2 linked regions of the Styela clava genome follow. The protein of the gene in region 2 purifies or fractionates together with the protein of the main gene of each other region. This does not show direct contact. Links are inferred from orthologs where the notes say so. Each region holds a gene or a part of one and is shown on either strand. Other genes may lie near its edges. The genes, in order: ribonuclease P protein subunit p29-like and ribonucleases P/MRP protein subunit POP1-like.

Evidence for each region.
Region 1: the proteins of ribonucleases P/MRP protein subunit POP1-like (region 2) and ribonuclease P protein subunit p29-like purify together in Homo sapiens (affinity purification with mass spectrometry; 5 studies listed by BioGRID and IntAct, counting the BioPlex papers as one, with this or other methods). This does not show direct contact. The link is inferred for Styela clava from reciprocal best matches to the Homo sapiens genes POP1 and POP4.

Annotation. Positions count from the first base shown.
Region 1 is NC_135262.1:12,185,383-12,188,922, forward strand, and holds ribonuclease P protein subunit p29-like, read left to right. Parts: upstream 1-1,001; 5' UTR 1,002-1,095; coding exon 1,096-1,527; intron 1,528-1,834; coding exon 1,835-2,029; 3' UTR 2,030-2,886; downstream 2,887-3,540. Other genes in the region: large ribosomal subunit protein bL27m-like, read left to right, coding at 2,923-2,974, 3,056-3,166. UniProt on the Homo sapiens protein: Component of ribonuclease P, a ribonucleoprotein complex that generates mature tRNA molecules by cleaving their 5'-ends.
Region 2 is NC_135257.1:9,026,135-9,030,072, reverse strand, and holds the start of ribonucleases P/MRP protein subunit POP1-like, read right to left. Parts: upstream 2,880-3,938; 5' UTR 2,740-2,879; intron 2,402-2,739; 5' UTR 2,377-2,401; coding exon 2,331-2,376; intron 1,993-2,330; coding exon 1,864-1,992; intron 1,332-1,863; coding exon 1,263-1,331; intron 490-1,262; coding exon 392-489; intron 1-391. UniProt on the Homo sapiens protein: Component of ribonuclease P, a ribonucleoprotein complex that generates mature tRNA molecules by cleaving their 5'-ends. Also a component of the MRP ribonuclease complex, which cleaves pre-rRNA sequences.

The sequences.
Region 1 (3,540 bases), on a different chromosome or scaffold from region 2:
CGCAAAAGCACTCCTAAAATAGCCCCGAAAATTTTGCAATGGTGAAGTATAGGAAAAAATTTGCGGGTGTCAAAGGTCGAGAAAAGGCCCATTAACTAACAGGAATTATTAGATGTGTACCGACTACCGGTATAAAAGTATTCCTCGAAAGATATCGTCAAGCTGATTATAGTCAGAGTCACCTAATGCCAAATTGCCCAATCAGAATTGTCAAGTTGGATGAATGAAAATGTGGATAGACCTAGTTCACTCTATAGTAGTGATATGATAGCATAAAAGTCATATTGGGGATGGCTAAATAGGTTGATGGGTGTCAAATTAGGAATGACAAAATACTGAAATAGGGTCGATGAGTCAAAATCTCAATGGTTGCAAAAGGGATGGCGAACTACGTTCGATGCGTTTCAAAATAGAGATGGCAAAATGCGGGTAGCCCAAACTGCTGGCAGATGCATGGACTTTGCAGCTTTGGTATGCAGAAAGACGTACCGGTACCGTACGGTTTTGTAGTTGAACTGTGAACGAACAACCCATACCGGTACCGGTACCAGTAGTTTTGCACTTTCACTAAATTTTATCGCTTCAGTTGTAACCTTTCAAGAATTTAGAGACATACGGTAGGCTACTCGTACCGTTATTATTTCCTTGTTAGACTTGCTTAAGGGTGCCGCTGCTCAATAACCAAATTTGGTTTCTTGTGGCTCCCCTCACCCTGAAATGCCTTTTTATTTATTTATTGCAATTTGTATATCAAGTGTGCATTTAGTATGGTGAGAAAATAAACTACTGATTACCGTGGGTTTACCGGTAATGCTATAATAAAATAGAGCTGTAGAGAGTGAAATGTCAATAGCAACAAAATATTTGGGCTGTTATCAGGACGAGAGGCTACGGTGTTGGTTATATGATAAAGTCGTCTCATCGGTTTTTCTCTCTGAATTTTAACTTCTAGCTTTCTTTATCACGATCTTTGTTCCTGGAAAGACATCATGATTATTGCTTTTTTGTGCAGCAGTAGGTAGCCTAGTTCAGGAAATTTGTATTTTACAATTTGGGTCTCTTATATTGCAGTGTGTTGATATTTAAACCTTAAACATGTCTCGGCAAGGAACATATTCATATGTGGAAGCATTTATTCAAAAAACTATTCCTAAAATAAAAGAGCGAGATTTGAAAACTTTGAAGTCATCTTTGAGAAACAAGCCTATTATGTTGGTAGGAGAACAAAAGAGAGCTAAAAAGAGAAAACGTGAAAAACAGAATAAGAGAAGAATAAAGAATCGCATATTGGCGAAACCTACAAATTCAAACTATCAAGATTATGAAAAACTGCGTATTTTATGGATGGAATACATCACAGATTTACTCTCGGATTATCAGACATTAAAACCAGGAGAAACCAAACCATCTTTGGATAACAAAAACGCACAGGAAGTTTTGTTGAAAGCAGATTATCATGGAGCAGATCTGTCTGTGACAGGTTCACCTTGTAAATCTCATTTGGGTTTGAGTGGAACAGTCCTTCAGGTGTGCCAATATATCTGTATTATTAACCTTTTTTATTAACTCATTTTGTCCTTGTTTTGAAGTGCACTGGCACAATATGTGATTTCATCATATATCAATGGTATTTACAGATTCAATACTAATTGGTGATTGCACTCTACACATGCAACTTTTGACCTCATAATATATAGAATAAATTATTATGTTTCCTGATTATGATAACTGGATGACTTGGTAATTCGTTCAAAGGATTGTTCAGTGTGTTAAATATGCATACCAATATTTCCGTTTTTTTATTAAATTAAGTTATTTTATCTCATTTTTTCAGGAAACAAAAAACATATTTTTGATCTGCACCAAGGAGAACAAATTAGTGAGAATTCCCAAGAACAAGACTATATTCACATTGGAATATTCTGGATATCTTATAACAATATTCGGATCACAATTTTGCTTCAAGCCATCTCATAGACTCATGAAAAGATTTACGAAAAATCCACGCTTAAAAGAACTTTTGCGATGATATAACTTTTTTGCAATGCAGTTAAACTAAAATTGTTAAAGATCGGAGTTTAATGCTAAGTGATTTGTATTTCATCAAAAGCGTAATTTGTCTTCTGTTGCTTAGCAACCATCTTTTCAAAAATGTGGAAGGATATTAGTTATTAATTGCAGCACATAATTGTTAATTTCACTCAGTGTTGCATATAGATATCTTTATATCGTTTTAATGTTAAGGCCTTTTCAATTCACAATAGGTTCTCCAATACTGCTTCTCCATCTTCGAGGCTAGATAAATCTTTGTCACCGATCACCGCATATATGATTAGTTTTAATACGGGAAAATTGTGAACAAAGTGTATCAACAAAGTGACTCGCACAGACCATTTATTTTTACACAATTTTATGCGAACTCAATTATTATTAACACCCTACTTGGCCTACTAGACGTCGTTCTGTTAACTTATTCCATACTTCACTGCCTTAAATGGACCTTAGTTACTGCCTCTGGTTCAGAGGCTTATTAATAGGTAATCAACGTAGTGCAATCTTCACAGGAAATAGGTTTGTTTAAAAACAATACTACAGTATAAATTCTGAATGAATAACCATTTACAGTCTTTGCGATTAATTAAAACTCTGGAAATACAACACTCTCCCATTCAAGAACCATCGACATTCGACACCTGTGTATTTCTATTTATATCATTGAAATTTATATGGTGTTCGTTCAACTCTTACATTTTACTCAAAGAGAAAACAAGTGAAATATTATTTTGTAAGACGTGGTAACTAAATATAAGGACAATGAACTGGCAACTTGCATTTACTGACATTGCCACCCTCTCACATCCAACTCTATTATCATTTTTCTTGTAGTTTAGTGTTACTATATTAAATATGAATATATAGATCATGGAATGCATCAGAAGGTTAACAAGGGTGAAACTCCATCAATTCTCAGCTTGTAAGTCAAAATTTTTCTCGAGAATTTGTTTCAATCATTCAATTTTCAAATACAGGCATTTATCGAAAGTATATTTTTCAGCACCAACATTAAAAATCCCAAGTTGCTGTGCATCGACTGGTGGTAAAAGTAACACAAGGAATAAGAAACAAATAAATAGGAAAAGATATAGAGGAATTAAAGTTGACGATGGTGGGTTCTTGTAGAGATTAACCTTTTTTCATTCCAAATTTCTACTCCCCCTTTTGAGATGTTGGGCAATTCCAGCGTTACTTTCGTTACATCTGAGCAAATTTTCAAATTTCAAACTGACTTAACCTAAAACGTATTAGAAGTATGCAAGTCACATTGTTACTAGTTGTAGATGGCGTTAGGGGTGTAACATAGACACCATAGAGGTGGCGATACTATGGACTACTTTAACATAGGAATGTCCCGAAACACCGTTACTTGCGTTACAGAAAGAGGACAAATGAGATAAGATATTAACACCAACTAACTACTTTTTGCCATGTCACTAGAGAATATAGTTCAATTGTAAAACCATAAAAAATTAGGTGAAAAAC
Region 2 (3,938 bases):
AATCTACGATACTCATCACCCTTTTTCGTTTAGGCATCTCCGTAGTATTTTAAAACTCTATCGCTTTGTGATGTCACAATATATGTTCCAGAATCCCCATGTTTTGTCACAATGTCTGTCTGGTAATTTTCTTACATAACATAGACATGCGCTGGGCCCGCGTTGTCAAACGTATTGGGAATTTTTTGCCAAATTTGGCCATAAAATAGTTTGAAGTCTAGTAACAATAGTAAGCTTAATCTTAGAATAATAGATTTTTCTGGGAGCCATATGCCGTCACCAAAAGAGCCATATATGGCTCGCGAGCCATGGGTTCCCGACCCCTGCTCTATACTTTGATTTCATTCAGTATTAATAAACAATTAAGGGAAATGATTATCCTGTTATTTACCTGTAGGACAGCTCTATCACTTGTGTGCTGTGATACCGCCTGTAGCATCGCTTTCATTTCTTTGGCAGATGATTCTACTTTGTCAGCCACACAGATGGCTAAAATATATCAAGAAATAAGAATTGACACTTATCACCTGTAGAAGTGTGATAGGTATTTAAAAAAAAAGGGGGATTCATGAGAAAATTGTAAAGCCTAAATCATCTTGATTCTTGATTATCAATATTGCAATTTGATGTTGAATATAAAATTTTGATGTGGCGAACCAGTTAAAAAAATTAGTAACTACCATAAGAATTGTCAAGTCATTCAACCAGAAGTCAAATCCAGTTGATGGCCATAAAAGCAAACGATACCAAATACAGTAAGATCAAAATTTTTCAGTTTAAAATAATGAGGATAACTAAAATTGGTATATAATCTCAATTATTATTATAAATTATTTTTATGTCATTTTTTCCCATTTTACAAAATGAAATTAAAAAAAACATTACCATTGCTGCTACATATGGAGGTTCAAATATCCAATATTGAAATGGATTTTAAAACAAAATTTCAGAAAATTCAGTAGTAATCTCATCCATGGCTAGATTTTGTTTTAATTTAATCACCCAACTAAAATTGGCCGAATCAATAAATTCGGTAAGTTGAAGAACGAAACTTTCAAACGAATATTGCATGTGTGAATGGATGAGGATGACTGAAGAAACTAAACTATTTGCGGAGCAAAGAACCAAGGTTCCGATCAAATTCTTCTTTTTTTGTGAAATTTTGTACCTAGTGGACATAAACACTAGTGAGATGCTGCTGTGCAAATACCTAAAAAGACATGAACTGCTTCTATACATTGTACATGAATATTGAATATTACCTCTAGGAATTTCAACTTGGCTTTGTGATTCCGAATCAACCATATCTTTGTAATATTCATGACGAGAAGCTGAAAAATGATTGGTAAAAAATGAAATTATGCTTTGATGATTTATGTAATTTTATTAGTATACAAAATTTTATACCCATGACATGTATAGTCAGATTTAGTATTTGGTACAAGTACTGTGGTCGGAAATAAAAAAAAAAAATTCAAATCGAACTTAAATGATTGCATACGCTAAAGTTTTTTATTTCAAATTTTGTTATCAGGAGTCAGGAGCTGGAAAGTTTTGGTAACCTAAAGAAGACTCCATAACCCTGGTTGTTCAGTTGTTTTTGACTGCATATAATCAACAAAAGTCTCTGCATAATTTTTGCCAAATATGACATATTAAATTCTATGAACTATGAAGTGCTTTCTCTCATCTAGGTTTGGAGAAATTTTACAGGATTTAGCAAAAATAATGAAAACCGGCAAATTTGTTGATATCTGATAAAGGTTGTCCAGAAAAAAATTGAGAATTCGAAAAACAAATTGATTTAACAAATTTAACAACTTATCAGTATCTCAAGTTATATTTAATTTCTAGACAACATACAATCTTTCTTCTTGTTGACTACCACATTCTGTGGCTGATATCTCATTCGTTTCTTCCAGCGAACGATACGATTAGTAACAGAATCTTGTTGCTGCTCAGAACCAGCTTTACCGACTTTGGCAGATGCATCTGTTGAAAAATTTGGTCAAAATATTCAAAAGCAAGTACGAAACAACCAATGAAATTGAAAATGTTTGGCAGTTTGTCGATCATGCTGCTCATCGTCAAGTCAAGCTGAGTTGAATTACCTTTTAGCTGTGAGTTTTATGATATTAATTAAGGTTGAAATTTTATATTAAACCATTGCAGCAGATGACTGATGAGGTATTTAAAAGAATTAGAATAACTCATTGAAAATGATATCCTGATGTAACCTCTCATATTAATTCTAATTATAAAGTTCAAGAACATCGTAGTTAGGTAGATAATCTCACACTACCATAGAATCATGTTAACTAGCTTCTTACTTTGAGATATACTAGCAGCTTTGCTATTACTCTGTTTTGCCTCCATTTTTCAATCCTACGAGTTTAATGAACTGAAAGAAAAGATGACTGGTTTAAATATCAATTATTAAGCAAAGATATTCTACCAGAAAAGAAAGTTCAAAATACAGAAATGTAGCTACGGATCCGAAGAAAAAGAACCGTTCTTGATCCAAGACATTATTGAGGCTATTATCAAAAATTTTATAGTCAGGAAATGGGTATAGAGAAGTGTTTATAACATATGGTGTGTTTATAACGACTAAGCCACAGCACCAAATCGTCAATTTAGAACATGAAAAGTGTTTCATACTTCAGTAAATTTAAACATTTGGATGTTTTTTGCAGCTATTATTCAGAAATGTCATGTAAATTTGAAAATATTACTTACCGTTTCACCATGTAAAATTTTTCCTTTGAATTATCGATGAGTCTTGAATAAAATAGCAAGTACCGGTATGTAAAACATGATCAAAAAAGGAGTTTCCGAAAACCTAATTATCAATTTTAGTATAGTGCTCTAACCTTTATAAAAACAAGAAAGAATCATACATAATACATTCAAGCACAAAAAAATTAGCTACTGTGAAATTCGAAATAAGGATCGAGCAAAATGATAGGACTAAGAACTATCTATGATACCCGTTTCACTACGCATTTTGTTCAATTTGATACGAAATAAAAGTTCACGAGCAATCTAAATCTGTTTCACTCATATTACATCATTAATAACCTAATTAATAATCATACCATCATAGTAAAACCAAAGTCATTTTTCAGAAGTGTACTTTTTTTGAATTTCCGTCATCTTGGACCAGTGACCATCTTCTGGTCTAGGTTTCAAAACTGAACCCGATTTAGTTTTGATTTTAGGTAGTGCCTTATGTCCTTTATAAGGTTTGGCTGTACAGATATGCAAATTACAAAAATGGGGTTTCATTAACAACCCATAAGCTAATTAGGTTCTATTGTGCCAATATGTTACTGAAAAATAGCTGACTAAAGAATGGCTGGTTCTAAATATCTTAGAGATGGCTAGACCATGCCTTGCTAGACAACACGTCATAAAAATATCCCTTTGAGAAATCCAGGTACAGAATATGTGTTCACATTTGAAAGTCTAGTTTTTACAAATGGAGCATGATCATAGACTTCATAATACAGGTTGAATTTCAGATCAATTATATTTTTTTTTTTATTATTGCAAACATAACTACCGGTACTTGATAATGTTTTCAAATCAAATAACAAGATTATATCAAATAGCTGGAAATTGTAATTTCACTTCAATATTCATAATCATCCATGCTTTGCTGTGGCAACAAAAATGATTGAAGTTTGTAGCAACATTTTATTACAAAGTGTAAAGTAATATCAGTTATATAAACAGCATAAATAGAAATGGAGCAACTAAGAATTTTCCAACATTCACCATGGAACTCATTTCTCAAAAACTCGGCAAAAAATTTATTTGTTAATAGGAGGCATCCAAATTTAAGTAAAAATAGTACTTCAATTTTAACAAAATAATAATTTATAGGAGCTGCTTGAAGGATAGTACCTATGGGAAGAATATAGAAGAAACAGTCT